Caenorhabditis elegans: one gene and its partners. The protein of the gene in region 2 purifies or fractionates together with the protein of the main gene of each other region. This does not show direct contact. Each region holds a gene or a part of one and is shown on either strand. Other genes may lie near its edges.

The links.
Region 1: the proteins of F10A3.17 (region 2) and C07D8.6 fractionate together in Caenorhabditis elegans (co-fractionation; one large-scale study listed by BioGRID). This does not show direct contact.
Region 3: the proteins of F10A3.17 (region 2) and T12D8.10 fractionate together in Caenorhabditis elegans (co-fractionation; one large-scale study listed by BioGRID). This does not show direct contact.
Region 4: the proteins of F10A3.17 (region 2) and sur-5 fractionate together in Caenorhabditis elegans (co-fractionation; one large-scale study listed by BioGRID). This does not show direct contact.

The regions. Positions count from the first base shown.
Region 1 is NC_003284.9:7,339,498-7,343,466, reverse strand, and holds C07D8.6 (NADP-dependent oxidoreductase domain-containing protein), read right to left. Parts: upstream 1,959-3,969; 5' UTR 1,932-1,958; coding exon 1,689-1,931; intron 1,638-1,688; coding exon 1,228-1,637; intron 1,181-1,227; coding exon 926-1,180; intron 873-925; coding exon 827-872; 3' UTR 687-826; downstream 1-686. Other genes in the region: epg-7 (Autophagy-related protein 11 C-terminal domain-containing protein), read right to left, coding at 3,618-3,714, 3,765-3,908, 3,956-3,969.
Region 2 is NC_003283.11:16,158,046-16,162,115, forward strand, and holds F10A3.17 (DUF38 domain-containing protein), read right to left. Parts: upstream 1,650-4,070; 5' UTR 1,639-1,649; coding exon 1,060-1,638; intron 994-1,059; coding exon 805-993; 3' UTR 634-804; downstream 1-633. Other genes in the region: str-99 (Serpentine receptor class r-10), read right to left, coding at 1-68, 121-208, 255-446; str-109 (Serpentine receptor class r-10), read right to left, coding at 2,640-3,328, 3,834-3,921, 3,982-4,070.
Region 3 is NC_003281.10:13,640,783-13,644,329, forward strand, and holds T12D8.10 (BolA family protein), read right to left. Parts: upstream 1,546-3,547; coding exon 1,483-1,545; intron 1,434-1,482; coding exon 1,336-1,433; intron 1,182-1,335; coding exon 1,046-1,181; 3' UTR 1,013-1,045; downstream 1-1,012. Other genes in the region: acbp-5 (Acyl-CoA-binding domain-containing protein 6), read right to left, coding at 1-61, 446-654, 708-906; drr-2 (RRM domain-containing protein), read right to left, coding at 1,983-2,302, 2,359-2,557, 2,601-2,684, 2,736-2,756; set-16 (PHD-type domain-containing protein), read left to right, coding at 3,199-3,204, 3,257-3,358, 3,414-3,490.
Region 4 is NC_003284.9:7,300,435-7,307,467, forward strand, and holds sur-5 (Acetoacetyl-CoA synthetase), read right to left. Parts: upstream 5,137-7,033; 5' UTR 5,136-5,136; coding exon 4,916-5,135; intron 4,762-4,915; coding exon 4,658-4,761; intron 4,573-4,657; coding exon 4,452-4,572; intron 4,405-4,451; coding exon 4,081-4,404; intron 4,031-4,080; coding exon 3,879-4,030; intron 3,836-3,878; coding exon 3,651-3,835; intron 3,231-3,650; coding exon 3,064-3,230; intron 3,003-3,063; coding exon 2,902-3,002; intron 2,847-2,901; coding exon 2,711-2,846; intron 2,164-2,710; coding exon 1,854-2,163; intron 1,655-1,853; coding exon 1,498-1,654; intron 1,452-1,497; coding exon 1,326-1,451; 3' UTR 955-1,325; downstream 1-954. UniProt on the Caenorhabditis elegans protein: Activates acetoacetate to acetoacetyl-CoA. Negatively regulates let-60 Ras activity during vulval induction.

The DNA of each region.
Region 1 (3,969 bases), on a different chromosome or scaffold from region 2:
AATGAAGCTAGGTTTTGATGATTTGCTGACAAATTAATTTCTTATCAAGCATGTAACATATGACAACACACACCGCCCTAGAACTGTATGGACGTAAAAAAACTTTGCAGTGTTTATCATTGGTTCATAATTGAAAAAGTTCAAGTTACCAGAACTTACATGGAAATTTCAAAATATGAGAATTTTGAGAAGAAAACAAGTTTGTGCGTTGTAAAAATATTTCATCGCTATGTTTTTTACCTTCTAAGAACTTAAACTTGAGAAATTCGAATGAATATTACGATTAGCCCTCGAATAGTATGAGTTTGCCAAACAAATTGATTGCTTATTCTTATTTTTGAAGGGAAACGGTACAACTCAGAATATGTCTCACAATCAGGGCCGTCTTTAATTAGACAAAATATGGTGACGCCACAATTGAAAATTGGTGGCTCTTATAATGTTGAACGACTGCAGGCTCTATTGGATGCATCTCATCAAAGTAGCTGTGCATAATTCTCTACAGCGAAGAGCCACAAATTGTGAAAAATTCTGTCCAAACCTCGCAGATGAGCTAGGGATTTCCAAACTATCTCACAGAGTAGGAGACTCGAGTTTTTTTTTCGACTGGAAAAAAGGAAGGTAGGGCTGACAGGCTGGCAAAGATGATGACAGACTTATGTGATGTTTTTTGGGGTTCAAAATTTAGATCAACGTATTTATTTTTGAAATAAAGCAATCATGCTGAGAAATACATGCCAAAAAGGAAAGAGAACGTGTGACGAATGTGAATGGGAAATTGAACTTTGAAATGATGAACGAAGAACCAGTTGTGGATGACGGTGATCTACTTGCGCTCAGCAGCAAAGGCATCCTCGGGGTGTCCGGTCATACTGAAAAAGAGTTGGGTTACTAAAGTTTCAGTCATTTTGTCCTATAAACTTACAAATCTTGAAGAAAGAGACGCTGCGAGTTCTTGCTCTCCTCGAGCTTGGCAATGTCCTCTTCAGTGAGAGAGAAGTCGAACACCTCGAAGTTCTCCTTGATGCGATTTTCTTGGATCGACTTTGGAAGGATTGCGCATCCACGATCAAGAGCGTAGCGGAGGAGCACCTGGGCTGGAGTCTTGTGGGTTTTCTCAGCCAAAGCCAACACATTTTGGTCTTGAAGGTCGGATGGAGCTGGAGCCCAGTCCAATTTCCTGCAAATAGGTGTTGAGAAAAGGAACAAGCTACTTGTTAAACTTACTGTCCAGTTGGAAGAGTGAAGTTGACACGTCCTGGGCTTCCCAAAGTGGCGTAGGAAGTGACCGAGATATTGTGCTTCTTGCAGAAATCGACGTGGTCGTGCTGTGGGAAGTAGAGATGAAGCTCGACTTGGGAGTTGTGAACTGGTGTCAATCCAAGAGCAAGAGCACGAGAAATCTGATCGTTGTTCCAGTTGGAGACACCGACAGCCTTGGCAAGTCCGGCCTTGTAGACTGCATCAAACTGACGCCAGACGTCCTCCACTGGCGAAGCGATGTGCTCGCTCATGTCATCGTTGAATGCAGCTGGCATGTGAGCAAGGTACAAGTCGACGTACTCCAGTTGAAGCTTCTTGAGGGACTCGCGAAGTCCACCCTCCAGTTTTCCCGGAGCCAACTCGTGAGTCCAAGCCTGTAAAACCGGATTTGTATAAAATAATATAAAGATGCTATTTTTGCAAACCTTAGTAGTGATGAACAGCTCCTCACGTTTGACAACTCCCTCCTCGAGAAGCTCCTTGATAGCAGTTCCGATGGCTTCCTCGTTTTGGTATACGGATGCGGTATCGATGAGACGGTAGCCAGCTTTGACGGCGGTCTTCACGGCGGTGATGACTTCGGCGGGGCTTGACTGCCAGGTTCCGAGACCGATGACCGGCATCTCAACTCCGTTGGAAAGCTTGATGGAAGCAGTTGCGGAAGACATGGTGATGGACCGAGTGTTGAGGAGATTCTAAAATTGAAAAAATAGAAATGTGAAATTTTTGAGAACAAAACGAGGTGATAAAGTATAGAGTAAAAGAAAATCGGCAAATAAAATTGTCCAAAGTTTGATAACTAACAGACGATTGTGCTATATTTGATCAGACGGAAATAGAAATAGAGAATGCTAAGAGGGGAGGGAGGGCTGATGAAAATCTTACAAACCTTGACACTATTCAAGTTATTTCCAAAAAAGGGTTGAGGGCGCTGATTTAATCTACCTTATGCCTCACGGTATTTATATTCAAAAAAAATCATCTTTATCAAGCGATAGCAGCTGTCGGTAGGAATCAGTTTGAGAGAGACCAATGGTGTATCTTGTTCCCGAAATGCAATAGTTTGCCAGCAAAATATAAATGATACGCAGGAGGTTAGGGGAGAATGAGAGAGAATCTGTGGGTCAAAAAATGATGACATTTTATTGTTCGAAGCATGCACCGTGGACGTATTTCGGAGATAACGAAATTTTAAATGGAAATTTGTATCATTTTCAGTGTTTCAAAAGTGTTACTTAGGAGGTGCGTTTGTAGTAGGCGAAATTAAGCGCATTTTATAAACGTCTACTGATAAGGGTAAGATATCAATCTACATTCTAGAACTGTTAGTTTTATTTTATTTTCAAGCAGCATTTTTACCAGCTAATTTGAACATGATTTGATTCATGAGCACCGGGAAAGTGAGTGCCAAGGAGAGGATAGGCGAGAGAGAGAGAGGTCACGGCAACGTAAAAAAGGAAAAAATAAGCAGGAAAAATGGAAAACAATGTCAGTTGCCCCAGATTTCTTCCCTTTTATACTGACCAAGGAAGCCACGCCCCGTTCCGTTCCCGCGTTCAAAAAAATGTTCCCGGTTTCCTCTTTCTTGCAGTGATTGCACAGTTTGCGCATAATGCAGATCACATAACAGATTTGACGCGCAATATTTTTGAAGAAAAGGCGCGTGGAGAGAGTGCGGGCAAAAAAGGGAGAGTGTAGGATGGGTAACAAAACACTGCGCAACAACGATTCAGGATTTTAATCGCACTGAAAATGAATTTTGTGATTTTAACTCTAATTTGAATCCGTTTTACTTGAAAAACGTTAGAAAATATACTCAAAAGTGAGACAACAGGAAAAACCAATTTTAATTGTTCCATTTTTCTATAAGGATATTTTTTTGATAAAAAATCAGTGCGTTTTCCGACTTTGATACCATTTTTCCTCTGATTTTACTTTTTTTATTCATTTAAATTCTGAAATTATCGCATTTGTATTGTGTTCATATACAAACAGAAATTCAATACAGTGAAATTAATAGTTTACTTTGAAACAAAAATAATAGTTGTTGGTTTTCAATTATTCTAAATTTGCAACATTCATTTCAAATATCCATATCAAGGTATCAGGTTATTTGGACCACGAAGCAGCATTTCAAAAATGAACAATTAAATATATACCTATACAGTACCAGTAAGACCAAAAGATTTTGACGGGCCCAAAAGACTGACGAGTTGGGAGAACAAAAGAGGTAAAGGGGACATGAACGTATAAAGCTTACGTTATGAAAGGAATTTACATTTTTCAGAAACAAAAAAAAGAGGGACATGACATTTACAATTTTTGGACCAGAATTTTTAATGAACGCTAAAGGATCAGGCAATAGAAATATGATTGAAGTCCCCTTCAAAATCCATATTCACAGCTTCCACCTCAACGCGACGGACGATAGTGCCAATTGGCAAGTTGTACCTGGAATAAATTATAAATATGAATTAGAAAAAGAAATGATCAGAGCATACCGGTTAACTGGCTTCTTGATAGAGCAACTGTCAGAACGAACAACTCGCGCAATTATCCAGTTGCGGCGAGTGGCTGCGTTCTGTGTGTTGATTCCCAAACGACGAATCGACGATTCTTTCACGAAGTAACGATTCGGGCTTGAGCTGGAATAAAATAGTTTTTTTTTAATAAAAATCCGCACAACACTCACCAAAAAATGACATA
Region 2 (4,070 bases):
AAGGTATCGATAGTAAAAATGAATTGTGATCAACTGGAGCATGATGTTGTAGCAAGAACAATACAGTCCTGAATAAATCGCAAATTATTTTACAAATTTCAGAATCAGCGTTCTTAGTACCAATCGCAATTGCTCCGAATTGTTTGGTGAATCCAGTCTCCTTCAAATCAACAAAAATCGCAAAAGATTTGTCGGTAATAAGAACATTCTGAAAATAATGTGTCATAACTCTTCATATTTGAAAAAAAATCTACCGGTTTGCTCCAAAAGTTTACAAATGAATATACTATTGAAAATGATGAAAATGAAAACATAAGATAGTTATAGTTTCCGAACGTTTGTTTTGACATTTTACTGATTAGGAATAAGAGAATCGAGTTTAAAAAAGTTGAAGTCACAAAGCCGATTGTTTCAATGTAATATGCCAATTGAATTGTCCATTTCATGAATATAGTTGAGCACATTATTGAAACAATCGAGGTTAACGGAATGAAAAAAAATGTTTTGAATAAATTATAGACACATCTGCAAGTCCCTCGAGTGCCTGTAGACATGAATCGATGTGGGTATTCTGCCAACTTGTGCGTCCAGTTATTATGAACGAGCAGGTTTTCGTTGTTTAAATTTGTTATTATTATAACTTTTTTATTCACAATGGAAAATGAGACAATACAATTGGAATACATACAGATGGAATGAATCAAGTTACCAATTACCTATATAATTTATCAAAAAAGAAACTAAATGAAATTCCGACATAAAAAAATGGCAATAATCAATGGAACAAAATAAAAATAAAAATTGTTAGCCCTTTCGAATTTTGAAAAACCTCTCTGTAATTTCAACAATGAAGCATTTATAATTGACTTCACAATCAAACAATGCACTTTCCCCGAGATAAAAATTTGAATCAAAGACTCTCGCAATCTCGATAATGTTGGTCTTTGGAAAAATGAAGCATCCATCTCCAAAATGTTCCATTTCGTAGAGTCTCTGAAAATCAAAGTTAGGTAATTCTGGATCAACTTTGAGCCACTGAAACTTCACTAAACAACTCACGTCTTTAATTTTCTTTGAATCCTCCTTTGAAAAAGACGTCAAGCTGATTGTGAACTTCTCGAAGTGGAACAAGTTTTCAATTGGGATTTCAAATTTCCCGTTAGCTGCGTTCAAAATCTTGGCCTTCTTCCATTGCTCCAACTTGGAAATTTCATTCAACTGACCAACCATTGATTCGTTGTTTGACAATTCAATAGTTTCGAACTCTCCAGCTTGAAAAAATGGGAGAAGCAATAGAATTTCTTGTGCGAACAAGTCACCCAGTATGCATTTTGACACGTGCAACTTTGAGCTCTTTGCTTGAAAAACTTTCAGTAGAGAGTTAAAAATGTCCCTTCGATTTTGCTTTTTGACGTTGTTGCAAATATTTATCTCCACTGATTCCAGCTTGACTGTGGAATCTTGAATTTTCTCAGCAAATTCATTAATTGATAATTCTGCATGACTTTTGTCTTTTATTATTGTAGAATCTTTCCCACATGTAACAATGCTCCCATTATCGATAGGCTGGTACTCTGTTTCGATGTCATTGTATGTTAAATTCGATTGAACATTTGATATATTCAATTTTAGATGCATTTGTCAATTTTCTGTAAATAGTCTGAAACATAAAATTACAGATTGAGTATCACGGGGTTGCGCAAAATAAACCAGAGCTTAGCCGGGGTCTCAAATCAGAGTGCATAGAGTTAACCGTTATATTTTTGAAAATTATTGTTTTTGATGTTTGAAAAAATTTGAATCAGTAAAATTTAAGAATATAAGTATTTTTGGAAATCGCTATAAAAAAATTAGGAAAATGGGAAATAGGAACAAATTTGGCTGAAAAATTTCCTCATTTTTCAAAAAAATTCGAAAAAATTATCTGAAAACTAATTCAATTTTTGCACTAAAAGAAAACAAAAACCCGAAAAATTAAACAAAAAAATTGAAAAATACTCATACTTTTAAACATTTTTAGCCAGAGAACGTCCAGTACTTATAAACAGAGTTTTTAAAACAAAATTGTAAAAAAAAAGTTTAAAAAATTCCGCACAAACGAAAAAAAAGAATATAAAATCAATAGGGCATCAACATTTTCACATAAAAAGGAGGTTTCCTTATCTAATATTTACCACCATTCGCAAACAAACCAAAAGTTCAGAGACTATTTCGCAATATTTCAAAATCTCATTGGAAAATTTTTGGTAGGATTATTCATTTTGTCTTAAAAATTAACCAAAATATTAAGAAGAAACAGAGTAAAAAAACAATTTCAATTCAAATTTCTCAATAGAGCGCACTTCCTTCTCTCATTCTCAACATATATTCTACAGCTGTTTGGGTTACCCCTCGACTTGGGAAGTGTCTAGTTTGACACGCATCGTTGTACATATATTTATTTGAATGTATCGGTTTTTTTTTGAACTTGTAGCAATTCGAGTTTTAAAAAAATGTTTGTAAATTGATGTAAATTAACTTTATAACTTGAGAACATAAAAAAGTGCAAAAAAAATACAAATCAAGAAATAGTCGTGTTTACATACAGTGATGGCTGAGCTGGTTTTATGAAGTATGATATCCAACCTGCAAAGCCGCAGTTAAAGAAAACCTTTACAAATACACTTACTCGTTATCCGTACTCTGAAGCATTTGATACAACACATTGCTACAATCGGTTCGAAGCATGGATATATAGAAAATAAAATCATGATTAAATTTGCATGCTCTCCAATTCTGACCCCAAAAACTGGGAACACAACTAAACATGATACTGGAAAAAATAAAAAGATTGTTGGGAATATAGTCTGGACCACCAAAGTTCTGAACAATTGATTTTGGAGCTCCCGGAAGTTTACGCTCGCCACAACTTCTAGTTTATTAAGATGATTGTAAGTTTGAAAGCCAAAATATGTAAGAAAAACAAATGCCACAGCAATATTGCCAGCTGTATAGCCCTCAGCCACAAATGACGGAATATGAAATTTCCATTCTCCAGTTGAATTGTCTGTGTAGTAGTAGTGAGGTCCTGTGTAGGTATATTCATTTGGTTTCAGGCAGTAAGATTCCCAAAATTCAGGAAAAAGCTCTTCATCTTTCATTGGAGACGGAGAGTTCAATACGAGAAAGCAGAAGAACCAAATAGCAGAATTACAAGTAAGAAAGATGACCCAAATAGTAAGGTTTTTGAAGAAAAATCGATAAAGTGAAGATGTAACCGAAAGATATCGATAATAAAAATGCATTGCAAGCATGGTTATCATCATTCCGTATGTTGAGCATAGTGTTGCTGGAAAACTATATTTCCAATACTTTTTAATACATACTAAAAATTCCAATCACAAAACATTTGCCTACTTGCTTACCTAATTACCTACTTCGTCTTACCTGTTGTGGCTTGGGCTGATTACCTCTGCCTACATTTTATGTGTCAGATAAATACCTCTGCTTACCTGTTAAGCTAGCTTCATGTTTGAGTCACTCATGCCTACCTGATTACTTGCTTTCATACCTACACGTAGACAAGCATGCCTACGTACTTGCCTACATACAAACTCTCGTGCCAAACTCTTGCCAAACTCGTGCCAAACTGCCAAACTCTCGCTTACCTGCTTTCCTGCTAATCTACATAGCTACATGTTCATGTGTCTGTTTTCCTACGTACATGACTAACGAGAAGCAGCTGTGCCACGCCTATCTGCTTGCCAACCCTACCACCTGCCTATGTGCCTGTCTGCCTACTTACGTGCTTGTCTACCTACATGACTACATTTCCGACTTGTGTCGGTACCTACCCAACGCTAACTGTCCAGTGAAATACGAATATCCCAAAAGTTTCAAATCAGTAAATACAATAAACGATGTCTTGGTTATATGAAGATGCTGAAATTTTGAATCATTTACTTTTGGGCTAAATTTTTAAAAATTATGTAGATGGGTTACCGGTTTCATATAAAAATCACAAAACGAGAAAAAAATTCCGACAACGGAAAAAGCAGCCATCAAATATTTATAGCTGCCAAAAACTTTTT
Region 3 (3,547 bases), on a different chromosome or scaffold from region 2:
TTTCGGTTTCGGTTTCCAGTTTCGTTGGCGGGTGCACCACAGCGTCGTCGAACATTTCTGGCTGAAAAATGATAAGAGGGGTACGGTATTTAGTAACAACTTTACGTGTTTTATTATTTCACAGACTCAACTTTAATTTTTTTTTTGAATTTTTTGCATCTTTCGTAAGTTTGCCTTGTTAAAACGGTTTCTAATCTGGTGGGAAAAGTAGGAAAAAGCTTCAAAAACCATTTAAAAAAACTACAGTAATTCGTTCCCACTCGCTGCGAGACCCCTCGTCTCGGGAGGTCGCCCTCCTTTAAGTCATTACGGTAGTTTTGATACCAAATATAGACGTAGAGGCTCAATTTTCAAGTTTTCAGTACTATTCTACATAAAAAAATTTAAAATATACATTTAAAAAAGCATGATTAAGTGGGGATTAATAATTTTTTATCCTTTTCACCTCGATAACACCCATTGTGCTGGGCATCTTCTCCCACAGTCCACTTTTCTTCACCGTCTCTGCATCCGGATCCCAAGACGTGTCAAGCTGAGCCATGAGCTCACAATACGCTTCCATAGCTCTCGACCGGCTCATCTGACTATTCGCTAGCCACGAGTTGAACTTTTTGCGCGCGACCGTTTCGAACCAGTAGGGACCTTTTTTCGAGTCTGAAATTGTGTTCTTTTAGTTTCTCAGCTTCAAAATCGTCCATTTTAAATACCTGCTGGACCTTCTACAGCCTGCTTGTAGAGTCCATAGAATTTTAATATAGTTTTCTGATCGATTTTTGTCAGAAACCCCGGCAACCTTGTCGTCGCCGCGTCGAATTTCGCCTCAAGCAGCGTATCGATGGGTTCTTCTTCTTGATTTTCATTTTTTGGATGGTCCTGGAATGAAGAGACTGCCCATGCAATAATCATCTGGAAACTTTGTGTAACTACTGATTTCAGTCGGAAACAAAGAAATATGACCTGGCCTTTTCGATTAAAAATAACCAACTTTAATTCAAAAACAAAGCGAATAATTAAATAGAATCATTCATTTAAAAAGTACAGCAAATTAGTCCACCAAATCCTGGCAACCGGCATTTTGACGGTCTTCCGTCGTCATTTGGGACCATCTTTCAGGTGTGTAGGCGCAGATGGTGAGCGCGTGAGTTTCGTCCATGATTGGAGCAAGAGCAGCTTGGACCAATCTGTAAAATTGGAATAAGTTTATATTTACATTACTTTAGTGCAATCGTTGGGAAAACCAGCTCAGCTTGACTGTGACTTCCTTTAAATTCTTCCGTTTAAATTAATTTCCACGTACGTGGATCCACCCTAAGCTTTCAGCATTTTCAGGCTTACCGGTGAGATTGCAGCGTACACTTGCCCTCAAACGCCTCAGAGACGATGAGAAGCCGAAATTTGTATCCATCGCAGCCTCCGCTCTCGTCGACGACTTTCTGGAAGAAATTTTCGGTTTTTTTAATGAACAACATCAATAAAACTCACCAAAATCTGCGGCTTGATGGCTTCTGTGAGTAGCGCATTGACTCTTTCCACTGGTGATGCCATCTGTCGATTAAAATTTAATTTAGGAACTGAAAATTGAGCAGAAACGAAAATTGGAGAAAACCACACAAAAACCAGATTTTGAAAAAAAAAGTATAAAAATATTTTTTTATTGATTATTCATATATTTCGCATGTTTTTAGTGTATTTCTATAAAGAAAAATAAAGGAATAACTAGTAAAATCAACAGAACAACAAGTAGGTGGGGGAAAATATATGCTTTTGGGACTTTTTGGGGTTTAACAACAAACAAACTTTTTATGTGAAAGGATTCTGAGGTAATTTGTGATCATTAGACATTCAGAAGGGGTTGAAGAAATGGTTATACCAGCGGAACTTGACGGAAAGTGACGAGGGGACAAATTAGGGGATAGGCTCCTATGATTGCAGGATTTCGTGTCATTCGCGGATCGAAATTCAGGGAAAAATCGAAAAAAAGTTTATTGGAAAAGCTTCTCCTGGCGTCTCTTGGTCTCCTCTTCTTCTTGCTTCTTGCGAGCCTCGATCTCAGCGGCATCTGTGGTACGGGGCTTCAGGTTGAGACGTGGACGTTCTGCTGGCGGAGCTGATGGATCTGAAGTTTCCTCGGCTTTGTGTTGTTCTTCGCTCTCGCGACGTTGTCGGTATCCACCGCGATGTCCTCCGCCGCCAAATCCGCCACGACGCTCTCCTTCGTTGAAGCGGCCACCTTCACCGCCACGCCGGAAGCCTCCTGCTCCACGACCACGTCCTCCGCGATCTCCGAAGTTTCCTCCGCGTCCTGAGCAAAATTATTGTTAAAATGAGCGGAGAAAAATAAAATAATAACTGAAATACCTCCACGACCACCTCCGCGGTCACTGCGATCGCGCTGTTGGGCACGATTAACCTTGAGTACGCGATTTCCGAAATCGGCTCCATTAAGGCCACTGATAGCAGTATTCATCTGTTGTTCATTCTCAAAAGTGACATATGCGAATCCCTTGAAACTTCCAGAATCTCTGTCGTGCACAAGATGAATATCGAACTTTTTGAGCTGAAAAAACATTTATTAGAAATTTCCTGCTTTTCCGCAGTACCTCTTCATCTGTGAACTTGCAGTGCTTTAATATAGTTTCGATGTCAGTGGCGATGGAGTCATAGGGGAGCCCACCGATGAATGCCTGTAAAATTCGATATATTTAAAATGCCATTGCTTTGAAGTACCCACTAACCTTAAAAATCTCATCGGCCATTGCTTGAAAAGCTTCCCCAAGTGAGACGTCTTCTGAAATTCATTTAAGTCTTTAAAAACGCACACACGAAAGCTCGAAAATACATATTTGCAAATCAAATTATTTATTTAATTTTTTTCCAACTCTCAGTCCGCAATCTCGCGTGGCATTCGGTGTATTGGCACAGTGCCAGAGAGACGCAGTGCGGCAGAGATGCGTAGCCGCCCCGTTAACATGGCAAGGGGCTCTACGCAGCGCGTAGAGACGCAGACATGTAACGCTTGGCAAGATGCCAAACAAATCGATACGCCCTTTTCAACAGCCGTTAGAGGAGAATGGGCGGCAGTTTGAACGATTTTTATCTCATTTTCAGTGGAATAACTCATAATAATTATTTTAGAGTCAAATTCGTATCGATTGAAGCTTCAAAAATCGAGAAAGCCGACTATATGAAGTCCAAAAGATGATTGTAAGTGTTCACCGTTCAAAATTTTAACTATACATCAAAATTAAAATTCCAGTGCATCGAATGTGGCGGTACCGCGTTCAACAACACGGAACTATGTGAAAACTGCATGGATGTTAACCGTTCTGGCACGATGTCGTTGGATATGGCCCGTCAGGTAGGAAATTTTCGATTTTCCACTATTTTTTTTTCTAAAATCAGAAAATTTGCAGTGTGACATGTCGTCCAGCTGTGGATCGTGCCAAAGAATGATAACTGCAGATTCGAGGCAGTGCACAACTTGTCGGAAGTGAGATTTTGAATTTTCAATTGTTTTTCACCGGATTAAAATACATTTTTTTTGCTT
Region 4 (7,033 bases), on a different chromosome or scaffold from region 2:
AAAGTTTGCATATAACATTTGGCTTATAGTTTTGATTATCAATTTTGACGTTTTACTAACAAACTTCTCAAGAATTAACATTAGAAACAAATACTCAAACAGCCAGAAGGTTGTGAATGAATTGTTGGTGGGGGCAAAAACCAAGATGAGACAAGCTCCTCCTCTAGTGTTTTCTACATCCTAATGTAAATTGGATTTGGCACCGTAAATTAGCTTCACGTGACTTGACGTAGGCAGTTGTATTAATTGGTCGGCACTCTGAATTAAAACGTTTACCTTTGATGTCCTAAAAAATAATAAAAAAGAACAAAAAGAAAAGTTGAGAGAATAAAGTGAATAGATGGAATGTAGAAGAAAAGTTATGAGGATTTGGTTGGCATACGAATGGTGATGGGCTTCTGCTGGTCGCCTAACCTTTTTATTATGTCTTGCCGCACCAACGCTTATTGAAACACACAAAGATGGACGAAGGGGACAAACCAAGGATGTTACTTGTGATTTTGAAAATCAAGTTTGTTGAAAAGGAGCTCAAAAGTAAACACTCCTTATTCAGAAATTTAGCTTTACCGATTTTCTATGCATTTATTTATCCTAGGTACTTATTTTATCCATGCATTTTTATCTTTGCAAAACTTTAAAAACAATTTTGCAAATGTTAACTATCTCAAAATCACATTAAAATGAAATGTGTAATGAATTACAAGACAACTGAATCTGTTTCAAGCAATTGTTTTCCAATTTGTGTGTTATGTAACATAAAGTGTTCCAAAAGCAAACATAGAATTTTAGAGTCAGAAATGTCCACATTTTACATGGGAACAAACTCTTCTAATTTTATACATTTTAGGCTCGTACCTTTACAATACTTTCTTTTGAAATTTTGAAAATATTTCCTACTATTTCAATGACGGTCTTCATTTTAACGTTTTTGAGGACATGCCCAAAATATCATCTAGTGCAAAATGTTTATTCCTTAATGATAATGAAACCATTAAATTTTCTTCCTCTTTCAAAGTATTTCACAGGGATTTATTTTTTGATGACGACGGAACAGTGAAATCAGAGTTATTTCGTTGGGGAGTGAGAGAGAAACCGGTGCAAATAAAGAAAACCTGGGTGCTAACATAAGGGGAAATATGAATGAATTAACACAAAGTTTTAAATTAGATTTGAAGGTGAGAATGTAAAGGACCACAAAGCTCAAAAATTGATGTTGATGATGACATGAATGAGAAAAACAGGTTCAGGCAATGAGCAAGAAGGAAAGCGTGAATATATAATTTTCAGAAACAGAAACAAATAAACCGTTGAAATAAAATTAAAGATTAAAGTCTGTATTGAACGAAATGATCAAGAGATTCTGGATTGCGAATCGAAGACGCTTTCTGGACGGCCTTTCCACTCACAATTTGCTTAACGGCAACTTCCACTTTCTTTCCGCTTGAAGTATACTGAAAAAACAAAGTTTTTACAAATATCTCAATCGTAAATAGCTACCGGAATATCATCAACTGCGTAAATTTTGTTTGGAACATGTCGCGGGGACATGTCGTTCCGGAGTTTAGAAACAATGGCTGCCTGGATACTGTGTGTGAGCTCTTGACCCGGAACCATTTTCACAAACAGCAAAACTTCCTCGTCCATGCCCTCTTCGCTGGAAAAAAAATGTTCTTATGTTTGTTCTGCCATACTAGAGAATAAAAAATATAAGTTAATTTATCAACGACCTGTTTATTTCTATTTGCAGAATAGAGAAAAGTAATTAAAACTAGCTTAATATAAAGAAGAGAATGAGTAAGTGACATACCTATTAGCAAAATAAAAACTCTAAATATGCATAATGATCAACTTACACAAGTCTTCCAGCTACAATGCAATCAGCAATATGTGGAATTTTTTCAACAACCGAATAAATCTCAGCTGTTCCAATTCGAACTCCGCCGCGATTCAATGTAGCATCACTTCTTCCGAGCATTTCTACACCGCCCGTAGAATGATTCACTCTCACAAAATCACCATGAGCCCAAAATGGTTCTAGGCGAGCAAAGTAGGCATCACGGTACTTCTTGCCATCCGTGTCATTCAAGAAATGTGATGGCATTGAGGGGAATGGGGTGACACACACTAACTCTCCTTGTTCGTCAGAGTTAATGATTTCTTCATCTGCAATTCGGATACTTTTTGGAGAAAAAAGTTGATCTATCTTTCTTCGCAACTTTTCGAAAAATGTTGAAAACTACTTTGAAAGTTATTTATAAACATTATAAAGTATGTATATTTGTTTGCAACACTGCTGTTGTTCGCCTGGGATATGGGCCTGTAATCCCTATTGTCATATGGACCTATTATTCTTATAAAGATCGAACACCTATTCAATCGCCAGGGTTCTGTGCAAAATTTTTAAAAAAAGTGGGCATTAAGAAGTTGCCGCGCTCGGCAATTTTTTCAATTTTTTGCACGTCTTACCGATTTCGGCATTTTTTTTTGATTTTGGAAAATACGATGGAAATACAATTATGCTATTTATTATTCATGGTTTTATTTTTAGAGTTTCAAGAATTTTTGAGATACATCGCAATTTGCCGAGGTCTGCCAATATTGAAAATTTTTCCAGTACCACTTTTTTCATCCCCAGTATTAAATGGTACAATTCTCGACATAACGTTCTAGCTTTTTCCGAATTGTTTTATACATTTCATTTTGCACGTACCCATGTAATTGAATGACTTAATATCCATTCCCAGGAACAAACACTGACACTCTCCTGGCGTGATTGACAATGACTTGATACCACCGACAAAGCATCCAATAATGTCAGTTCCTCCAGAAATCGACGCGATGAGAGCCTATAAAAAAACTTTGTGTTATATTTGGTTGCAAAAGAACAAGATAAGAACATACGCCTGGCGCAATATAAGTGTTGATATAAGCGAAGCACTCTTTCTTCAATGGCGAACCTGTCGAGTAGACTGTGTGTATTTTGGAAAGGTCGTACAATGTGTCTGAAAGTCGTTGATCATATTAACGGTGTTGAATGGAGGAAAATTATATGTATATACTTACTGAATGGAATTTGAAGTCGGAGGTATTCATCATAAAGCTTCGCACCCATTCCAATCATAGTCGATTGTGTCTTTGCAGCGATTTTCATGATAATATGGGTGTCAGGAGCCAATGGGCATTCATCGAATAATACAACAGATCCTTTGGAGTATAGGAACGAGATCATCCTGAAATGTTAAAAATTAAAGTTATATATTTTTGAAATTGTGAATAAGTACAATCTTAGCAATTTGCCGAAAACTCGTGATCAATTTCAGCAGCGCCAATCAAAAAAGTTGCAAAAGTGAACAAAGTTAAAGATGGAACATCCAAGCATTTGCACTAAGAACTACCAAAGGTTACTGAACGGTTGCAAAGTTGCGGCGAATTGCCAAAATGTTTTATTTCTTGAAAGCAACCTGTGAATATTTATTCGGAAATTATTTTTGTCTCTAGAAAAAATCAATATTTTAAAGCTTATCCAACAGTTCATTATTACATAAATACAAAAAAACATTTCAGGGGACAGTTTCTACGGTGTTCTAATATTATTTAAATTGTATTTTCTTGCTGATTAAAATACAATTTTAATTAAAACAAAATCTCACCAATTATACATCATCCATCCACATGTAGTGTAGAAAAACATACGATCGTGTTTCTTTGAATCTCCTTGCACCAAATGCTCCTCAATGTGCTTGAGCAAGGTTCCTCCGACCGTGTGAACCATTGCCTTTGGAATTCCCGTGGTTCCTGAGCTAAACATTACGAAGAGTGGATCGGAAAATGGTACCTAAAAATCCACATGCTTTGAATGTTTCAAATCTTAATCATACTGGAGTATATACAAATGGCAACACAACATCGGCAATGGGAGTCTTGAATTCTTCGAGTGATGAGAACTTGTCACTTTGATTGTACTTTGTTGCATCGAATTTTACAGATGTGAAGGTGTCGGATACAACGATTTTCTCGAGAGTTGGGAGCTCTGGAAGTTATACCATTGTTTTAAATTCTTATTTGACAAAAGTAACCAACCTTTTACAATTTCATTAATTTTATCGGTCTGATCAATGAGCTTCTTCTTGTAAGTCACATGATTCACTGTGAACAAAACCTTGGGGTGAACTTGTCTGAATCTGTCAAGAACACCAGCAGGTCCAAAATCAACAGACGCTGAGCACCAGGCAGCTCCGACAGCGGCTGTGGCAAAAACAGCCACCAGTGTGTCATATGTGTTTGGAACAAAGCCGCAAACAGTGTCTCCGGGTCCGATTCCATAGTTACGAAGAGATGTGGCAATGCGATAAACATCTTTGCGCAAGTTGTCGTAAGTATATTCTGTCACTGTTTCTTCGATACCTTGAATTTTGTTTGATAAATAAACGTTTGGAACATGAAACACTTACTGGCATTCAATACAGCAATATCGGTGGCGGTTCCTCTTTCGATGACATTTTCAGTATAGTTGAGAGTAGCACCATTGAACCATCTCGGTCTCTCGTTGATTTTCAAATTATGATCGATAACCTAAAAATACTTTGTTTGTTTCCGAGCTGTTACACATAAAAAATTAATGTTCCAGGAAGTGGAAACAAGTTTCCCAATACCATACCTGGTTGTAGTTTTGATGAAGCTTCACATCGGACAATTTGAGCAAATCCTCCCAGAAAATACCATAATTATCACAAGTGAATCGGTGAAATTCACGGTAGTCAGCTTAAAAATGTGGATGTTATGAATATTTTGCATTTTTCAAAATCTAGTTGCTCACAGTTTCAGTTAAATATTAAATAGCAGTTATTTGAGGTCGATTTTTCAAATTAATCAAGAGTTAAAATTGAAACCTATGATTTACTAAATAAAAAATTACCAAATTTCTTATTTGTTTTCTCTTCAAAATGATTTCTGAGTGACAATTCAAAAGTTTCCAAATTTTGTGGCGGCTTGTAATAAACTGGCTGAAGTTTCTGAACATGGCTTATTTCATTTCCATTCATTGATCCATTCGTCGTTCCATTTGTCGTTCCATTGGTGTGAGCACCATTTTCGTGCTTTTCGGTAGTTTTTCCGTTTGCAGACACTGCGGTCATTCTGAAAACAAAATGTAAAGTTCAAAGGTTTATCCACAGAAAAAAGCAACACGAAAAAAATCGAAAGGACACAAAACTAGCGATATCACCACTTCTAGGCGTATTTTTGTGAGGTTTATCACACGCTTATCATTATTTGCCAGGCCATTAACTGTGGTGTGATTGCCTACAATCACCAGATATTCAAAACCTTTTCAGTGAAGTTGTAGGAAAAATGAGAGACGAACATCATTGACTAGTGAGCACAACACATTGATCACTGTTCTATGCAAAACAATTAGCAAACGGTTCGTAGAAGGGGACTGCAATTTGGTTTAGTGTAAAACGTTCTACGTATCAACGTGATAAGAACAGTTGAGATATCTCTTGTTATCAGTGAAAATTTGGGACATCGGGACAAAGTAGGTACACAACAATTCGGAGACAAAATTTTCAATGTCAAATGTTGCGTGAGAGATCTCTAATCAAAGAAGATAACATGGCGCTGTAGGACACCGGTGTAATAAAATTGCAAGCCCGCACGTGTTGGATTAAGTTGATTTGATTTTGATTTAACGGCCGGCAAAAAAAGTGTGAAAGATTAAAAAATTATGACGTTTCATTTTTGTTACATCATGCACTTTGCGAATGGAATATGAAAAGAATATATGCGGCGTGACAAAATAGTTTGAAGAAAAACCTATATTATCCTTTTTAACATTACTCTAAAAAGTCTACTGTAAAAGTAGCCATTGACACGTTAGATTCAAAGTTTAGATAATTTCAGACGATAAAAACATGTTTTTGTTGCGTCTTCAATTTCAATTGCCCCCATCTCAATTCCGATACTATTTCAAGTTTTTTTTTTATTTCGATCGTTATACTGTTTTCCAATTGAAGAACAGCGCTCTTTAAAAAAAATAAATGCGCAAAAAAAGAAGAGAAAATAAAAAAGAAATTGAAACTTTGCAAAAAACTTTTAAAACAGATAGAGACAAAGATAGACCGAGACACAGGCATTGAAAGAAATACACAGAGAGCCGACGAGGGACTACACTCTCCACTGCAACGTATGTTTACCGCCTGCGCGTCCGTCGGTCAGCACAGTCTCTGGCCTCCACACTGCACACGTCCACTGAAAAGTGAGATCAACACAAGGGACAAGGAGAAAAAAGGTTTTTTCTATATTTTTCTTTTCCAATAGTCTGCGTTTGTGTGTGTGTTTCGTTGAAAAGGAGCGATGGATAGAAGAAGAGCGTGCCATCACGGAATGGCCTTTGCATTTTCCGATAGCTATTGTTTGATGGTCAAAATGATTTCCAACATTTACAGTTTAAATGTGTAGTTTATAGTTTTTATGAGTGGTTTTATTTCTGGTAAAACTGAAAAAACTTACTAGGGAATGACCAGAATAAGTGGAGCGATATTCAAAAAAAAAATATTGTATCGGAAAGCTGACATTCTCTACTATAAGAATATGACTGAAATTTTGGCCCATTCGGGCTGGAAATCTGAAATTTTTACGTCTGAAATTCTACGTTAACTCTTTTCACTATCCCCAATTAGTACTGCCTGCAACAGCGAGATGGCCGAGTGGATAGAGTGGATGACAAGCATGGTGGGACTCTGGGGTTCAATTCCACCCTAACGTAAAATTTTTCAAAAATTTAAACGTGTTTTTTCGAAACTATATAAAAGCCCAAATTTAATTTTTCTGATCGATATCAGCATGATCAATGTGTCGACCAACACCATAATGATTCATTCAACATCTTTTCCCCTAAAATTTAAACTTTTTTCTCAAAATTGTAACTACAACCATGGATCCCCTCATATAAACAATTTCCATTCAGATTTCCAGCCCGAATGGGCAAAAATTTCAGTCATATTCTTATAGTAGAGAATGTCAGCTTTCCGAT